5 linked regions of the Bombyx mori genome follow. The protein of the gene in region 4 interacts with the protein of the main gene of each other region in a pairwise test. Links are inferred from orthologs where the notes say so. Each region holds a gene or a part of one and is shown on either strand. Other genes may lie near its edges. The genes, in order: spectrin beta chain, pre-mRNA-splicing factor syf1 homolog, TRAF3-interacting protein 1, cell division cycle 5-like protein and protein crooked neck.

Region 1 (3,516 bases), on a different chromosome or scaffold from region 4:
TCAATTAATATAGAGAATGTATATGTAGATATGAGGTTATAGATAAATCTTTCGGGGAGGGGAATGTAGATCAACTGCTAGGAATATTAAGTTCATCGGTCACTGGAACCCATGTCATATCCCTCTGCTACTCAACATGAGAGTCAGGGACCCAATGATAATTACTTTAAGCACAACATTTGTATTGTCTTGCGACCTTTTCTGTCGTGTGTTTATTCACACGACGTTTCCACGTAAAGCATAATATCATATATCAGTAACATCTGTGGTGATTTCTACCAAACTGCACGAAGCCATTTAGTGTTGTGTGTATAATTACTGACCATGTGAGTGAGTTGCTCCCAGTTCTGAGTGATCTGTTCGACGCGTTCCCGAATGAGTTGTGCCTCCTCGGGATGTTCGTTCTCGATGGCGCTGGCCTCGCTCTCCAGGGACGAGATGCGAGCCTGTATGGCGGCCAAGTCGCGCTCCATTCCGGACAAACGACGTTGGAGAGTCATCACGCCTAGAAACATATGGTACATTTTACAATGGTAATATGAAATCAGCTAAGCTTTAGTGTAATTGTTTACGGTCATTTACATGAAATTAATAAGCAACTAAATTACGATATGTGGGCGGTTAACATACTAATCAAATGTTATTGGTAGATAAAGTTTTCAGAAATACTCCTTAACGGACACTTGTTTGGACGGTCAATTTATTAACAGTGGATACGTACTACCCTGCAGTGGGAGTTTAATCATTAACATTGATTTTGGTGACTGCATCTGGTGCAAATACCTAGCTGGTATACTACTAATTGAAGCCAATAATAGCCTTAGTGAGTGTATTTAAATAGAAAACGTTTTAGAAAAAATTACTGAAATCGTCTTAATTTCTGATAAGTATTTTAACTATTCAATGGGAATTGAGTATGAGTATGTTTTAATGTTCTCCTGCAATTTTAGGTATTGATTTTCTATAAAAATCTAAGTTACAAAAGCGAGCACAAGTAAGATTCAATTTGTATTTTTTTGTTTTTCAATAAAGAAACAAGGACAGCACACAAACCTCGAGATATCATTACTATAGCATCATTTTCAATCGTAGTTCACTTAACTTATCTTAATTTAACTATCTAAGACTAAAAAAATATAAAACAGCCTTGATGAAAGTCAAATTACCGGTTTGAAAACTAAGCGAAATCTGTTTGAAATTTCTAAAAGCATCTGATATGATTGTACTCACCGTTAAGATCCATCTCGAGGTCGTCGGTTTGCTGCAGTATGCGTTTCTTGTCCTCGATCCACGAGACGGTCTCGCGACATTCGATGTGGAATGTCTGCACACCTTGAGCGGACTTAAGCTCATCCTTCTTCGCTTCAGCCTAAGGATTGGAATAAATATAAATTTAATTTTTTTGGGAACGATGTTCCTTATGGGACGATGCGGAGGGGTACCCTAACCGGGAAAAAACGTCCGTAACGTAAGATTATTATTAGTAATGCACACAGTGTACGACTTAACTTTGCAATAATGTACAAAAATAGCATATTTTTTTATAATATCATTCATTGACCACGATCTCAGAGTGTTCGTTTGCGCAATACACTAACTCTTATGCAAGCAACCGTGAATGAAGTGTACCACAATAAATTCGCACGTTACCGAATGACCGTGGGTTGTTGCGAAACCTCCAGTTTTATTTTCTTTATTATACCTCTAATAGAACTTAAAATTAATATTTTTATAATAAGGAACCTTGTTCCTGTCCGGTGTCCCACGACACCACACATCTTTTTTTTTTGTTTTTAGTTAATTCGAAGCTACTTTGTTGAACTGTCTGAAATTTTTTTTATATTTTTTTTACTGCTTAGATGGATAGACGAGCTCACAGCCCACCTGGTGTTAAGTGGTTACTAGAGCCCATACACATCTGCAACGTAAAAGCGCCACCCACCTCGAGATATAAGTTCTAAGGTCTCAGTATAGTTACAATGGCTACCGCACCCTTCGAACCGAAACGAATTACTGCTTCACGGCGGAAATAGGCAGGGTGGTGGTACCTACCCGTGCGGACTTCCAAGAGGTCCTACCACCAGTGATCTCTAATAATATTTAGACATGGATCTAAACAGCAATTCTCGCAGAACCCTGTAGATGGCAGTCCTAGCGAGGTCGTTACGTGCGGTGCGTACCTTCTCCCGGAGCGCGCTCCAGGCGTGGTTGAGCTGGTGCTGGCGGTCCTGGATGCGCGGCGCCTGCGGGTGCTCCACGTGCACGAGCTGCCGCGCCAGCTGGTTCACGACGGCCACGCGGGACGCGTTCGCGTTCATCTCCTTGTCGAAGCCGTCGTATCTGAAAACAGACCGCAGTTAGCGACACAATACTGTCTACTACGCTAATGTTTTACTTCTGAAGACGAGATTGGTCGACATCTACTGGTATGCTACTACTATTAGATTTCGTATTTCTAGCCAGTATGTAGCTATGTAAATGATTATATATATTTTTATTATTTATTTAGCTACACATTTTGATGTAACTTTAATTAACTTAACAAAATATTTTCTACTAGCTTTTGCCCGTGGCTTCGCGTGGAATAGCTCACAAATAATGCTTTATTTTAGAATACATTTGGTTAGCATAAAAAACGTTATAGTAAGCCAGCCAACCTTAATATATAAGACATGCTGTCGCGGACTTTTTTTTAGATCTTTTAAAGGGGAACAATTGTCATACATTATTTTAGCGAAACTTTTATTGTTTCTGCAGCGCACGCAGCGGAAGCTCTCAAAAAGGAAAAATAATCCCGATTTTGAGACATTCTTTATTGGTGCTCCGCTTGTATTGGTCTTAGCGTGATGTTATATAGCCTATATATATAGCCTTCCTCAATAAATGGGCTATCTAACACTGAAAGAATTTAAATTGGACCAGTAGTTCCTGAGATTAGCGTGTTCAAAAAAAAACTCTTCAGCTTTATAATGAAGGAGCGTACCTGTGCTTCATGATCTCGACGTCGTCGATGTCGCTGGGCGGCAGCATGGTGTCGAGCATGCGGTGCTTCTCCGCGATCCACTGGTCGGCGGCGTCGGCCTCGGCGAGCAGCTTGAACAGCGACAGCGCGTCCAGCAGGCGCTGCTTGCGGAGGCGCGCCAGCTCGGCCAGCTCGCCGTGCCGCGCGTCGATGGCCGCCAGCCGCTCGCGCACCTCGCCGCTGTTGGCGTCCTCCGGGCTCAGCTCCTGCGCCTGGGGACCGTGGCCGTCACGACTATGCTTTATAGTTATTGTATTACGAATTACACAACTCTACAAAAAAAATATCGTTTTTTATCCTAACGTTTATTCTAGGTTTTTACGGTTAATTATTCACAAAAACGAAAATAAAATACCTTTTTTTGGTATAAAGTTTGCTTTTGTGATAGTTATAGTAATAATACTCATTTTTAATTTTTTTTTATAAATTTTAATTAATTTTAGTACGTTCAACAAAACCGCGATATGAGAGTGCGGTTTTTAAGTTTACACAGT
Region 2 (4,291 bases), on a different chromosome or scaffold from region 4:
AACTCAACATTTGTGCAGACATCATATTCACCTGTGTATTATATGTGGCTTGCACACTTCTTTTAATTCTTAACATTTCTCTCATTGTATCTTCATTACCATGCCTAACTTCAAATTCTTTCCAAGTGTTCCAAAAATCAGCTGTAATTCTAGGATCACACATTTGACTACAGTGTGCATATATTGCCCGAGCTCTATCAATTTCACCTAGGCGAGTTTCCATTTCTGAGAAGCGAACACACATTTCCCTAGCCTTCTCTTCAGGAAGAGTCTCAATAGCCTTTTCATAAATCTGTCGTGTTTTAGGAACTCCATAAATTTCAGCAGCTTTTTTAATATAAATATTGAACATTTCAAACATTTCTTCAGGTAGAACGGCAGTAGTAGCTCTCTCATATACAGACATTGCATGTCTAGCTAAACCATGCTCTTCTTCCAATTTTGCATATAATAAGAAAATAGACTTTGCAAATTCATTGGGACAATGCTCAAGACATTGCTCAAATAAATCTCTTGCTCTTTCAAGTTTTGAACCACCATATCTTTTTAAAAATTTTGTTAGATATGTATTCCAAATATCATACACATTAGGCCACTTGAATAAGGCAATACCCTTTTCATATGCTCTAAAAGCTTCTTCAAAGTAATTATGCTCTTCTAAAAATAATCCATAATTGATAATAATTTGTGGAGTAGCAATTTTTAAATCTATAATATGATCATACACAGCTTTGCAAGATTTGAATGTACCAAAACTCTCTTCTAAGTCAGCATACATGGACCAAACCTTTAGTGATTTATACAACCTCATTTGCACAGTTTCAGAATCATCATGATATGCTACTTTTCTGCTTGGTAAAACAGTGGCTCTTTGCATTAATTTTAGGGCTTGCTCATAATTTTCATGTCTGATTTCCATTTCAGCCCATTCACACCAAACTGAAGCTAAATCGTCTACTTTAACATATGCTACCTGTGTAGCTTTTTCAAAAATTAATCTGGCATCTTCAATTTGGTCATTGTTTTCATAAAATTTTGCAAATCCAACCCACAGTGTGAAAAGTTTACCAACAGCTAATTTAGGGTCTACAGTTTGCACTGCTTCAGTATATGTATCTATTATTTCATGGGGTTTACCTTCATATAATTTGACTCTTTTATGCCATTCAGCCACATTATGTGGATTTTGTCTAAGTAGAACTGAATTAAGCAGTAACAGCCTTCTTTCCATAAGATACTCAAATCTGGCAAGTCTCAATTCTAAATCAATATCATCATCTTCACTTGGATTAGTTTTCTTGGCAACTTCTTCCATTTTTTTACTAAGACTTAATTCCTCAAATTGTGCATAAGCATCAAATATTTGTGTAAAATCCCTCACTGTAGTCACAGTTTGTATAGCTTCTTCATAAATGTCTCTGGCTCTTTCAAAAAGACCACTTCGAACATAATAGTCTGCAAGAGAGTTCCACAGGTGGCCTAGCTGATCAGTGTAACGTCTTAATCCCCCTCTGATAATAGCGTCGACATTCAGAGAATGAATTTGATCAGGATTCTTTGATATCAATTCACATAATTCATTCCAAAGTTGATGATTTGACTTTCCATGTTTTGATTGAAAATTCTCATTATTAACTAGTTGAGCCAATTTGACTGCAGCTTCATCTAATTTATCTATTGAAGTTAAGTAGTCAATATACTCTTCAGTATCTTCAGGACATAATTTAAGATACCTACGAAACACTCTTACAGCTGTTTCGGGTATATTGTGTTTCTTCAAGAAATTTAAGTAAAGAGGCCATATCCTATGATGTTGAGTTATTGGTAAAGCTCTAAGAGCACTGTCAAACGCTTTCCTTGTTGTAGTTATTTTATACTGATCTGTTAAGAATGAACAGTAATCCATCCATATTCTAGGCATTTTGTGCATAAATACTAAAGACCTTTCAAAGCAATTGTTTACATCTTCATAGCATGGGTCAGCTATACAGCGACCTCTTATTTGTTTTCTTCTTAATTTAAGATAGTTATACCAAAGTTTAAAAGATCCTGGTAATTCTTTTAAAGCTCGTTCATATATCATATTAATTTCATGTTTGGGTGCAGTTTTCTTGTGTTCAATGTACCTAAGCCAATGTTTGACAGAAAATGGATTTCTTAGGATTTCCTCTTCATACGGAAGATCTTCTTCACTCTGTAACAATAACAATTTTATTTGAATTAATATGATAATAATGTTTGATATCAACGTACCAGAAAACCACAAAAGCTTTGGTTAGATTTTTTAAAGCAGTTGATATATTAAGGTTTCTTTGTTAATTGAATTTGGGTTGAAAAAAATATTTGTTGATTGTATTTTCATATGTCGGCAAAAGTAAATATGTATGCACACTAAGCATTGTAAATTATAAAAATATTTTTGAACTTACGAAGAATATGTCGATTTCTTTTCCGTCTAGAAGAGGCATTCTAAAGCTTTCGAATATGTACCGTAGGTACTATAAATTCAATTCAAACAGTTGAGTAATTGAATAATTAGCTTAATTCTATTTCTTTAGAACACACTCAAATATATTATGTGTATAATCTATGGAACACACTTCAGTGTTTAATCTATGACACACAATATCATAGATTGTACCTTATTTTTTTAAGAGATTTTATGACCTGGTAACTAAGACCTTTAGGTCATGTTTTATTTTAATTTATATTTTAATTTTTATGAAAAATCATAATATGGAGTGAAATGAAATGAGATGAGATGATGTGAGATGAAATATAATCTAAGTAAAATGGTGGTCATTTACTGAGAATTTTGATTCAGTGGACTTTTTGGAGAATCCCGAAAAGTTACGTCCAGTGGCTTTGTTTCATTTTCCCACTTTTGTGCACTTTCACAGATATTAAACAGTTAATAAACCACCGTTATTACACATTTAAACTTGAAGAAACACTAAGTAAACAAAATAAAACAAATCACACAATTTCACTCCTCGCGTTCCTGCCAAAAATCCGATTATAGATTAAAGAACGGAATAGATCCGATTATACCATAAATTTTAAGTATCTATAGATTATACACACTTGTGAGATAACTAATTTAAGTATTAGTTTGTGCGGCTTAATAATGTAACTGATCAAAATTAATTAATCTGAGCGATGAAAATAAAGATATCTAGTAAGGGGGGGCCCAACTTAAGGGAGATCATTTGTTTAATTAATTATAAATAATTAAAAGACGAACAAACAATTTTTACATTCGAAAATTAACGAACAAACGACGAACAAATAATTAAAAATAAAAAAAATCCAAAAATCAAAAAACGAGGGGCCAAATTTAGTGAGCCCTACCTATCTACTCCACGTGTAAAAGCGCTTCTGCTTTTGCCTTGGGCCTTGTAAGCTATCATAGATAATACGCTTATTATTTGAGTTTGAGATGTAAGCTGATTGTAACTTGTAAGCTATGTTAGGAATTATGGCCATCCATTGCCGTACTGCATGCAAACGTGTTGTTAAACAAAGATTTAAGTAAATATTAATTTATGTAACGAGAACTACATTCCGCTTGCCTACTAAGAGAAACTAGTAGAAAAAAATCGCTCCAAATAATAGCGTTTGTCATAGATAATAGACCATAAATAAATGTTTGTACAATTCCTTTTTGTAAAAAATATAAAACCTTTAATTTACTTGACTTCACCGTGCCGGTTAGAGAAGATTATTTTTTAGTTCTTTTTTTTTAGTTTAATGTGATACAAATGTATTTCTACTATAATGTCAAAACAAGGAAAAAGAAAAATATCTGTTGAATTGCCGAAAACGAAAGATCTCTCTATTAGACCTAGTGTGTTTGATCGGCTCGGTACTAAGAAATCATCAAGTGCTAAAAAAACAACTGAACATTGTAGACAGTGGGCCCAACACGGCAGCTGTGCTTACGGCAAAAGTTGTAAATTTGCTTCTACGCATACTCTTATCAGTCCTTCTAAACAACGCGCAGCTCATAAAGACAATGATCAGAAACGTTTAGTGAAGGATGATGGGAAGACTAGATTGCATTCTACTGTTATAGTGCGGTCAGGTCAAAGCCCCGAAGGAGAAATCGATAACTGGGACCAAAATGACTTAGAGTATGCAGACACAGATGTCCTCGAAAAACGAAGACAGCAGTTGCAGCGTGAACTAGAATTACAGATGAAAATGGATTCAAACAAAGACATGCGAAAAGATAAAAAAAAAGTCGTGTCCAGTACGTCTTCATCTAGAAGCTCTAGTTCTTCGAGTGTTT
Region 3 (4,067 bases), on a different chromosome or scaffold from region 4:
TTAAGTTTGCAAATCGTGTTTACAGAACAATAGTTTATTTAGTTTACAAAACGAAACTACATAAACAATCAAGAAGTTAGTGGGTATACACTTTGATATTACTTTCACTCAGGCGCTTTGAGAAAATTGTATAGCTTCACACAATTTGGTCTTCAAGTAAACTTTAGACAGAACAGAGCATCAGGCGCCACGTCTGCATATTAAATTTACATTCAGTCTTGCCAATGTAGTGTAGATCTAAGGAAAAGCATATCGAGCCACAATTTTAAACGATTAATTAAGACATAAATAAGTCTTGTTAAAATATTTATTTTGTAATAAATTGATTATTTTGATGCAATTTAAAAGAATTATTGATAAAATTATAGACCTACAAATTGTACACAGACAATAAATAAACATTAGTAATTGTGCTGATTTGTGCTTACGTAGGATAATCTATGATACGGTAAGTCTGCTTTTTTTTTTCAATATGAAAATTAAATGAGCTTCTTGACATGATATGGCGTATGTTGAGTTCAAATTAAAATTATGTGGATTTTTTTTCGAAAGTGGGAAAGGTGTATTGTAAATTACCAACTTGGGATATGCGTACCTCTGGGGTGTTCCGAATCCCATTGGGGGTACGTGAAAATTATATTGGTAATGGCCGTAAATACTGAGAAGTTTAAGTAGTTAACTTAAAAAAATTAAAAATATGATGATAATGTTGTTTTGTCTACAACATATAGTTTTAAATGAACTTTATTCTAATAACTATTTAATAAAAACGACCGATAAACCAGAAATGAGACATTTTTTAAGTATGGAGTTATCAGGATTTAATCGAAGAGAAATGAGACACATTAGGTATGGAGTTATCAAGGTTGGAGAACTCAAAAAAAGTTTAAGGGGTATGGGAATGAAAAATGTTTGGAAAGCACTGCTTTAGATCACCGTGGCGGGCACCGTGGATTTTCATAGCAGCAAAAATCAATCCTTCTTTTTGAAAGTACGTAATAAAAACAAGATCGCTGTTGCGCAAATTACTTTAGATTGCCAATTTGAAAGCTCCGTAAATCCTTGTATTTTACTGAGTGTTCATTTAATGCCATTCCATCCCATCTCATTGGTTTTAAATATGTTTTATTCTTTTTCACTTTTCATTCAAACGATATGGGTTTTGCCTGGAATTTTTTACAATTGTCATTAAAGCTATCTTGAAAATGGATACCGGCTGTATGGGCATATATCCCGTTCTTTGACCAACAAAACATTTTTGGGTTCTAAGCCGTTTCCATGGGAACGTACAGTGTACACAAAATTAAAAATACCACGACTCCTGACAACCTTTATGAAACCTATGTTTCTTGTTAAATTATTGTAATCAACAATTTTTTGTGTCGTTAAGAATAGGTATATGGTTATTTGATATTTATTGCTTCATGTTTACTTTGTAATATGTGCAATGGAAAAAGAAATAGATCCACAGATCATAAAAGAAACTCAAACATCTCTCGGAAAATATGTGAAGAGGCCGCCTTTAAGTGAAAAATTACTGAAGAAGCCTCCCTTTAGATTTCTACATGATATTATTACTAGCGTGAGTGCATATATTTTTCAAAGCACTTTAAAAACACACTTAGAAAATTCAAAATAGCAATGACTTCAAAAATGCACTTTTCCAGTGACGTATGATAAGATTCAGCGCCCTGAGCCGATAAGGTTTAACGCCTTAATAAAATAAACGAAAAAAATATTTTTTTTAATACGAAATTAAATCGTGCTTTATTGTTTGTGTGTAAAGAATAATCATAAAGAATGAAAATATGAAAATGGCCAAGTAAAGAAAAAGCAAAACTGAGCGCGTAATGATGCGGTTTGCGTCTATCCTAACAGGAGCCTTTTTAGTTTTAGGGTATCTACCCTAGAACCCTAGAGGCGTATTTACGCTGTGTAATTCCACTGACGAGACCTGTTACAGAAAAATGACCAATCTGAACAGAAATTAAATAAAGCAACACCATATCTATCTATACTTTATTTTTTTATATTAAAAAGCTGAAGAGTTTGTTTGTTTGGTTGAACTCGCTAATCTCAGGAACGACTGGTCCGATTTGAAAATTTCTTTCAGTGTATATAGGCTATTTAACATCACACTAAGACCAATACGAGCGGAGCACTAATAAATAATGTTTCAAAATCGGGTTTATTTCCTTTTGGGAGCCTCCGCTGCGTGCGCTGCGGAAACGGTTTAAGTGTCGCTAAAATAAAATATGACAAAAAAATCCCCTTTAAAAGTTTTAAAAAAAACTCCGCGACGGCATATATTGGCTCACTAAAACCTTTTTTAAACTAACCAAATTTGTTCTAAAATAAAGCATTATTTGTGACGGTGTTTTTATAAAGATGATATTACTTAATACTTATCCAAAGAAATACGTTATTCATTACAAGCATTTAATTTAAAAGAAATTGGCCCTTTACATAATTTGATTTCAATGAGTATCCTAGAAGATATCGCAGTTTTAAAATAACATTAGCAAAATGCATAAGAAAAATAATGATCAAGCACGTAATAATGGTGTAGGTAGAAGGCGCCGCCGCCGCGCCGGTGCGCGGCGACATAAAATAAGAACAAAAAAGAAGTACCCAAATCATTTCAAGATAGGCTGAAAATTGTAGATTTTTTCGATTTCTCCAGGATCCCATCATCAGATCCTGATCCTGATGATTACTTACAGGACCATTCGGGAAGTCTAGCGTTTCGAACAAAAAAAAAGAATTATCAGAATCAGTTCAAGCATTCTCGAGATATCGGTGAACAACATAGATAAAAATATGGTGGTCGAATTGATAACCTCCTCTTTTGAAGTCGGTTAAAAAGCGTGACTTTGGTCCCTTAAATAGCTCCTTAACATTCTTTATTAAATAATATTTACACCTTCTATGAAGTCCCGGGTAAAATTTAGCGTTATCCCAAAGTTAATTAAAGTCTAAGTAAAATAGTCTGATATTACTTACAAAATGGCTTAAGTAGCTAACATGTCCTGGTAACAAATTTTTTATTACCATTGTATTCACTGCCTGATCTGAGCTGATGTTAATCTGTTACCAAAGTCCATAGACATCGAGACCTATGTAAGTCTAAGTTTTTACTAATCATTATTTTCTCTAATGCTTTTTATTATTAATTCTAGGTTTTAAAAACAACTGGATTTTTCGAAGGTTTATTTGAAAAGGACGAGTTAACTTCTGAGAATGTTAAAGATAGAGAGAGTAAAATACAGTTTTTAAATAAAGTCATTTCAGTTATACGTAAGTTGATTTTAGATGTATAGATGGATGAACGTGCTCACAGCTCGCCTGGGGTTCTAATATCGGAGTCCATAGACTTCAAAAAGTGAATACCTACCTTTACTAGGGTCTCTATTTCAATTGGATAGTAGTTCTGCAAATTAGTTTTATGTAAAATTTTAAAGCTAAAATAGGTGACCGAGCTCACTGCATACCCGTGGTTATCGGAGTTCATACACATCAACAACGGAAATGGCAGCACCCACCTTGAGACATGAGTTATAAATCTTAGTTCTATAAGTTCCATAGCACGATGGCTACTCTACTCTGTCTTAATGTATTAGACAGGCAATATTAAGTTATGAGAATATTGTAAGGTTCAAATAACCGTATCAGATACCGTTTTTTTTCTATCTATTAATGTAATAACTACCGCTGTCTTGCCCATATTCTTTTCGAAACTTTCGCAGCTACTATAATATAATATATATTAGATTAATACGTTGTGTTCCCGAACTCACTCACATATTAACACAATTAAGTATGTATTTAAAAAAACTTACAAGTATTCTTAATTTAGTAAATTTATATACAGATTATACAACAGGAAAACCTATCAATATTAAGCCTTCAAAGATAGTAGCAGGTCAAGAGGCAGAGAAAACGAATGAACTCTTACAATGTTTGGCACAAGCTCTAGACAACAATTTATCGTCAGTAGAAGCAGTGAAAAAATATAAAGAAAATGCATCACAAAATACTGTGCTTATAAAAGAAACGAGATCTAAAGA
Region 4 (3,516 bases):
TATGAGTTCTAAGGTCTCAGTATAGTTACTTGAGATTTCAACAAGTCTTTTGCCCTTGTAGGCAATTAATTCTCTCCACAAGCCTCGTTTGAAGAAGGACATGTCATAGCGCTCGGGAAACACCGTGGAGGGAGCTCATTCCATAGCCAGCTGGTACGTGGCAAAAAAGACCTCTGGAAACGCACTGTAAATGAACGCAGCGGTTCCAGATAATATGGATAAGCTTTGCTCCGATGGCGGGAGATGTTCTGCCCTGGTGTACAAGCAGATAACCACTAGTCGCAGACCCTTCTGGCGAAGTATTTCGGCTATTTAGTTTATCACTGAAGCAAAAATCCGCGGTGGTGCAGCTAAGCCGAATGGCAGGCATATCATCTGAAGTAGACGACCCTGATAACTGATCCCGAGAAACGTCATTGATAGATGATAATAGGCCTGGCTCAAATCCAGTTTGACATTCCAATCTGTTATAAAACTTAGGAACGATGGTGGAAAAGGTGAAAAAGACTGTTTCATGTACTTGTTCAATGCCTTGAGGTTGAAAATTGTTCGATTTTTTATTGGTCTTGGGAAGTATGAAAAGAGGAAATCTGAAAGACGGTATCGGGGGTGCGGGTTCTAAAGCTCTATTGAATTAAATTCTGGATTTTGATTGACATCAAGTTATTATTAATTTCAATATTACGTTTGGTGGATCGAGTCCAGGTGTTTCGATATAGTCTTAGACATCCGCCTGAAAATGCTGTTGAGTAATTTATTTTTATTTCCTGATTTTCGTTCCACTTTGTACTTGTTCCCCCCTCCCCCCGTTTTTCTTGCTGAGGAATTATTTGGATAGCATCGCACAGAATATCTGTTTTCGGCCTCTTTAGATGTATTGGAATGTGGCCTACCTCGACATGGCTTTGCATTGGCAGTACAAGCCGAGGGTTCCGGCGATGCGGGCCGGATGCGAGTAGCAGACGGTGCCGCTTTTGTAATTTATCAATACCACCAATTTTCTGTATATATGCCAATAATAAGTTGGGGTTAAACATAATCACAAGAAGAAGATATTTTCTCTATATCTTCCCTGATATATCTATCCTTTAATTTCTTTATGAGGTATCTACGACGCTATCGTATAACCTCGGCTCGCTTATCGAAAATTATTTGAAGGATATCGTTAGAAACTTTTATAGGCGAAATCGTTACCGAATAGCGGTTTAAACTTTTCGTAAAAGGCGGAAGTATTAAGATGAACGTTCTCTGAATGTGACCAGTCGGCAAGGTTTTGTAAGGCAGCATAACGCATTCGTTCTGTGCCAAAAGAGCATTAGATAACGCAGGAAAACATTTTTTTCTCCGAATCCTGCACCGCGTTCCAAGTCGGCTAGTCAAATCTTTGCATATCTGGTTCTTTTATAGAAATGCTCAAATTTCAAAACCTACCCGCTTCTGGTGGTAACGGACGGTCTGGTGGCAGACGTAAAAACTATTCGTCGTTGTCTAATTTCGATTGGAAGTTGAAACCAGATCAGACATTATTATTATAAGATGTTGGTATTTGTAAGTGTAAAGGCGGGACCACTGGTGCACGACCAGCAATAGCATGATTCGAAGTTAAAATAATATTCATATGACTCACCCATTATTGCGACAGTAAGTCAAACCTTTTATTCAGATCTCGCGACCAGTCACTTCTTCGAAGTTTTCTTGCTGGTCCCTAGTCTTTATTTTCAGACGAACCCGAAGAAATATCCGAAGAAATTTTACTTTGAAAGGCGCGATAACCTCGTCACTCATTGTAGAGCCTTGGAGGTTTTCACGAAACGGAAGATAATCATAACACTTGTTTGAAACAAACTTTCTACTTCAAATCTCGAAAGTTGCTTATAACATTTTAAATTACTAACTTCTTAAAATATTAACGACTGCACGTGGGAAAAAACGACGCAACAATGACAAATATGGCGGCTTGTCTTTGCTTGTTGGTTCGGTTCCAGACGTTATAGAGGGCGCTGTAGATGGGACTTAGGAAACGGAAGTAGTCAAATTTAGCGACCTGCAGTGGAAATCATACGATGTACTCTCATAATGGACTTCGGACGTCAAACGGAACACATAATAACTGCTTTGTATATAAATGATAGGCAATAACCATATTCGATGCGCAAAAAAATATATATTTCTAGGTCTATTAAAATCATTTCAATCCTACAGCTAGATTCGTTAAAATTGGTTTTTTTTTCAGGTATTTCAACTTTAAATTAGTCTACTGTAAAGGTCACGCATTGTCGCTTAGTCACGTTTGCCTTTCAGGCGTCGATATCGTTTTCTCGCATTAAAACTGTATAATCTCAAAACTTACTAATTTTACTCAAAACTTACTAATTTTAAAGGTTTAACATCTGATATTTCTAATATTATCATTTTTGCAACATTTATTTTTTATTTTTTACCAGTTACATTATCTGTCTTTTAAAGTAAGATAAAATTATGTATTAATTTTGTTAATAGTAATCAAAACATAGGTAAAAAGAAAAATTAAAAAATCTAAACTACGCTCTTTTGACAGTATTTATGAGAAAAATACTGGTGATATGAAATGATTACGCATATTAACTAAATTTCGAATATTTTTGGAAATTACTTTTAATGCGAAGAGACGATATAGCGTGGGGAGGAGCTGCTGTTACAGTCGCAGGTCGCTATAAATTTTGCTTTCTATGGTAAAGTTGCCCAACACTTGTCGTTTCATTTAGTTTTATATCAAATACATGAAATAAAATTATTTTTGATATTAATTATGCTGTTATAACTTACTAAGAAAAATATTTTAATTACAGAATTCTAATGGAAGCACAGAATGTAATGGCACTAACTCATGTGGACACCCCATTGAAAGGAGGCTTGAACACTCCATTACATGAGAGTGATTTTTCTGGGGCACTACCTCAAAATCAAGTTGTGGCCACACCTAACACTGTTCTGGCTACACCATTCAGGTATTTTTGCATCAAAAGTTTAAATACTGTCCACATTGTTCAGTAGATAGATAGATATTGAAATCATTATTTTGTTTCAGATCATCTCGCAGTGAAGTGTCCACACCTGGCAGTTTTAACACTCCAGGACATGGCAATAGTCAGCTTGGGCTGACCCCAGGCTTGCGAGATAAACTTAATATCAACCCTGAAGACAGAGTGAATGGTGGTGACACTCCTCAAATTTCCCATCAACTTCAAAAACAAGCAAAAACATCAGTCAGAAACGCTTTGCAATCTCTGCCTGTTCCGAGAAATGACTATGAAATCGTGGTGCCGGAGCAAGAGGCTGGTGAAGATAAGGACGATTCGGCCGCAGTCGTTTCCGTGGAGGACCAAGCTGATGCTGATGCTAGATATGCTAAGGAACAAGAAGAAAAACGTAAGTTTTCCGTTCGTCATAACACCTTGTCTGATCTACGCAGAATGATTCTGTAATATTATAATTTGAGCCAGGCCATATGGTATGTGCACGTTGAGAAATGCTCTT
Region 5 (4,082 bases), on a different chromosome or scaffold from region 4:
GTGCTATTTATCATAGATACCTACCTACTTGGCTTAAAAAACTTTGTTTCGAAGCCACTAGAAATTTATAAAAAAAAATCTACCTACTACCTACATATCACTACTAAAGATGGGTTAATACCGATATTTGTCAATATTAGCGAATACGAATATATTCATGATGTAATATTATAATAACTTAACTAATGCGTGAATATATCCTGATATCTTAATATACTTCGATAAAACGGGTAAACGAGTTAACCGAGTACGGTATTCGTGAAATAAGTTAATAATCATAGATAATACACATAAATTAGTTATTAAATTAATATAAATAGTATACTGTATCTAGGAATTTGATTTCATACTAAATATTTTACAAGTAATATTATGTACATTAATATGAATATTATTATTAAACCAGAATTTGGTCAACATTGTACATTAATATAAACAACAAGTTAGTAATATTATTTATTTCTTATTGGTGCATAAAAACATCAGCTTTTTTACTTTTTCTACCGAATGACCGGTACGTCGCTCAGAAATGAGTATTCCAGATTTCGAAAAAATCCTCTGATACGGTACTGAGGTGGCTAGTAGGTACACAACAGTTATATTAATAGTATAATCCATGAACCGTTTGGTTAGAAAGTCATTTCGATTCAAAAATCAAACTTTTATTTATAGTTTGAGAAGTTCTTAGAAGATAATTAACTACTACCACAAAAATATATTGTCATCATAATTTATTACATATAAACATTTAATGAAAATAAAGCTCACCGATTTTATTCCAATAAATGTGGAAATGCACTATTTTGTCTTGAGTCGAATCTTTAGTACAAACATAAAAAGTAATGCATTTAAAAATTCCCACTGGCATCTTTGACATGTAAAAAGTGCAATACAAAATAGTCCTTAAACTCATAGCGAAATATAGTTATTTTCATTGCTCAGTATATAAACATGTAGATTATCTCACTTACTCTTAGCGCATGCAGTGCATTGATATGAATGTGATAAACAGATATCCGCGAGACACGTACGGCGTATGTCAGTATATTTTCGTGTGATAGATATTTCGCTAGGAGTAACAGTGTTCTGTGGATAGATACAACCCGACTGATGTGAGCTGGCTATTATTATGAATAAGTGAATACGGAATATTAGCATATCAGAATTCGACGGATTACCGATAGACGAATACAAGCTGTATTACGAATATCTTAGTGAATGCTAATATATCGGTATCACCCTTAACCACTACCTACCGTATTCACTTCTCTTAAAAATGTGTATAATCTATGCTTCTCATTTTGACAATAAATAAAAAAAAAACCTGAAGATTTCCTTTCCTGTACTTAGCTGTTTATTGTATGTAATCAAATTAAATTTAGGTTAAACTGAACTAAAAAATTATAAACTGTGCAGAACGTAGAACTTAACATGGACAGCAAGACAACAAAAATGCCGAAAGTGGCAAAGGTACGAAAAAAGTGTTTGATGGTATTGTTGAATAATATTACTCCAATTTTAACATGGATCTCACGATTTTTAGGTGAAGAATAAAGCACCAGCAGAAATCCAAATAACAGCTGAACAATTACTTAGGGAAGCCAAAGAACGAGACCTTGAGATATTACCACCGCCACCTAAACAGAAAATATCTGATCCTGAGGAACTTCGAGACTACCAACATCGTAAACGTAAAGCATTTGAGGACAACATAAGAAAGAACAGACTTGTAAGTAAATTCAATTTATTAGTCGCTTACAATGTATAAATGACTGTTTTTCCTATTAATGTAATTGTTTCTCAGTTTTAAGACCATCCAATGCTTAGTTTTACTAGCTGATAGAGTTCACCAAATTAATTTCATTAATTGATTTCGTGCCATTACGATCCTTTGAACAATATAGGTTTCATGCTGTTTCCACAATAAGAAGGGTACTAAACAATTTCTACTCAGAGCATTACTGACGAAAACCAGATGAGGATACTTTTATTTAGTAGTATTTCTTCAAGAAAACAACAAATAATATAATAATATCGAATTTTAGTTTAATGGATGCTTTGTTTTTGTTTTCAGGTTATTGGGAACTGGCTTAAATATGCACAATGGGAAGAATCACAAAAGCAAATCCAAAGAGCTCGTTCAATATATGAGCGTGCTTTGGATGTGGATCACAGAAATGTTACCTTATGGTGAGAGCTATCATTACAATTAACAATTTTATTTGAAAAATTATTAACTTATGTGCTCTTGGTACTGCCAGTGTTTAAACCATATGACTATTTTAAAAAATGTTTGAGAAATCTGTGGTGTTAATTTTTTTTTGCATTCTTGGCTCATCTGATAGTAATTGTTAGTCACACTACTGAGTACTCTTTGTAAGCCTCATTTGAACAAGGACATATTGTTGGATCACTCAAGACATGGGCTTTAGAACAAAATTCATGTCACAGTGAAGAAAAAAATTAATTCTTAAAGAGTTACCATACAAAGATCAGCTTATAATAGAACATATAAAAAAGATTCCTATGTCACTCTGTTCACATTACAATTTTATTTGGTTAGTAAACTTGTAGACAATTGTGGACGAAATGTTAAGATGTTTGATATACTTGTAATGACCAATACAACTATACTAGAGTTCATAGCCTTTGTGCTACCTAAAGCCCAATATATTTAAGGAAATACATACCCGATATGAAGAAATTTCATAAGTAAATAAGAACAAAGTGTCATTACAAAATTGATACTCTATTAATGTATTGTGAACTGGCATGTAATATATCATCCTGCCTATTTCAACAGTTATGCATTTGGTTTGAATTGTCCAACAGTTGTTTTATAAAGGAATTGAGACTTCAATCTCAAATTGATGCCTATTTAGTCCAAGAGCCACTTATTTAACAAATAAAACAATCTGTACTTTGAAAAATCTGTAAAAGTCATGGACTTTCTTGGTAAATTTCTTACAGTTTTAACTGTTAAATTTGCGTCACTCTTCAATTATCCACACTACCTTAACTACCTGTACTTTAGGCTGTTATACCACACCAAAATATTCTCAGCGTATCATGGGTTTTAGGCTGAAGTATACTGAAATGGAAATGAGGAACAGACAGGTAAACCATGCCCGTAATCTATGGGACAGAGCTGTTACAATTCTGCCAAGAGTATCTCAGTTTTGGTACAAATATACTTACATGGAGGAAATGTTGGAAAATGTAGCTGGAGCAAGACAGGTGATATTTTTTATACATGTACAATTTCTCGTATAATGATAATAGTCACTGACTGTAACTGAAACAAGGTTTCTAATTTACTTTTGTTTCACAGGTATTTGAACGTTGGATGGAATGGCATCCAGATGAGCAAGCTTGGCAAACATACATAAACTTTGAATTGAGGTACAAAGAACTTGAACGGGCTAGACAAATCTATGAACAGTTTGTTATGGTGCATCCAGATGTAAAGAATTGGATAAAATATGCAAAATTTGAAGAAAACCATGGTTTCATAAATGGCTCTAGGACAGTTTTTGAGAGAGCTGTTGAATTCTTTGGTGATGAAGAATTAGATGAAAGACTGTTTATAGCGTTTGCCAAATTTGAAGAAAATCAAAAAGAACATGACAGAGCAAGAGTGATTTACAAATATGCTCTGGATCATGTCCCAAAAGACAGAAATAAAGAACTTTATAAAGCTTATACTATTCATGAAAAGAAGTATGGTGATAGATCTGGCATTGAGGATGTAATAGTAAATAAGAGAAAGTATATGTATGAACAGGAAGTTATAGAGAATCCCACAAATTATGATGCATGGTTTGATTATATTAGATTAGTGGAGAATGAGGGTAATTTAGATGACATAAGAGACACATATGAGAGAGCAATTGCAAATATCCCTCCTTCAAAGGACAAACAATTTTGGAGGCGTTATATTTACTTGTGGATTAATTACGCTTTATATGAAGAGTTAGAAGCAGAAGATTTAGATCGAACAAGACAAGTTTACAGAACCTGTTTAGAATTAATTCCTCATAAGATATTTACTTTCTCAAAAATATGGCTCATGTATGCTCAGT

The links.
Region 1: the proteins of cell division cycle 5-like protein (region 4) and spectrin beta chain interact in binary tests that used the Homo sapiens proteins (3 or more experiments, as listed by UniProt). The link is inferred for Bombyx mori from reciprocal best matches to the Homo sapiens genes CDC5L and SPTBN1.
Region 2: the proteins of cell division cycle 5-like protein (region 4) and pre-mRNA-splicing factor syf1 homolog interact in a two-hybrid assay, tested with the Homo sapiens proteins (2 studies listed by BioGRID and IntAct, with this or other methods). The link is inferred for Bombyx mori from reciprocal best matches to the Homo sapiens genes CDC5L and XAB2.
Region 3: the proteins of cell division cycle 5-like protein (region 4) and TRAF3-interacting protein 1 interact in a two-hybrid assay, tested with the Homo sapiens proteins (2 studies listed by BioGRID and IntAct). The link is inferred for Bombyx mori from reciprocal best matches to the Homo sapiens genes CDC5L and TRAF3IP1.
Region 5: the proteins of cell division cycle 5-like protein (region 4) and protein crooked neck interact in a two-hybrid assay, tested with the Homo sapiens proteins (2 studies listed by IntAct). The link is inferred for Bombyx mori from reciprocal best matches to the Homo sapiens genes CDC5L and CRNKL1.

What each region holds. Positions count from the first base shown.
Region 1 is NC_085124.1:11,114,614-11,118,129, forward strand, and holds part of spectrin beta chain, read right to left. Parts: intron 3,235-3,516; coding exon 2,984-3,234; intron 2,341-2,983; coding exon 2,181-2,340; intron 1,370-2,180; coding exon 1,231-1,369; intron 506-1,230; coding exon 324-505; intron 1-323. UniProt on the Homo sapiens protein: Fodrin, which seems to be involved in secretion, interacts with calmodulin in a calcium-dependent manner and is thus candidate for the calcium-dependent movement of the cytoskeleton at the membrane.
Region 2 is NC_085110.1:13,377,021-13,381,311, forward strand, and holds the start of pre-mRNA-splicing factor syf1 homolog, read right to left. Parts: upstream 2,809-4,291; 5' UTR 2,469-2,808; coding exon 2,430-2,468; intron 2,195-2,429; coding exon 1-2,194. Other genes in the region: zinc finger CCCH domain-containing protein 13, read left to right, coding at 3,778-4,291. UniProt on the Homo sapiens protein: Involved in pre-mRNA splicing as component of the spliceosome. Involved in transcription-coupled repair (TCR), transcription and pre-mRNA splicing.
Region 3 is NC_085131.1:5,592,709-5,596,775, reverse strand, and holds the start of TRAF3-interacting protein 1, read left to right. Parts: upstream 1-1,264; 5' UTR 1,265-1,447; coding exon 1,448-1,582; intron 1,583-3,179; coding exon 3,180-3,297; intron 3,298-3,871; coding exon 3,872-4,067.
Region 4 is NC_085115.1:11,719,774-11,723,289, forward strand, and holds part of cell division cycle 5-like protein, read left to right. Parts: intron 1-2,828; coding exon 2,829-2,987; intron 2,988-3,067; coding exon 3,068-3,408; intron 3,409-3,516.
Region 5 is NC_085124.1:5,697,089-5,701,170, forward strand, and holds the start of protein crooked neck, read left to right. Parts: upstream 1-1,268; 5' UTR 1,269-1,431; coding exon 1,432-1,470; intron 1,471-1,543; coding exon 1,544-1,729; intron 1,730-2,074; coding exon 2,075-2,190; intron 2,191-3,080; coding exon 3,081-3,237; intron 3,238-3,331; coding exon 3,332-4,082. UniProt on the Homo sapiens protein: Involved in pre-mRNA splicing process. As a component of the minor spliceosome, involved in the splicing of U12-type introns in pre-mRNAs.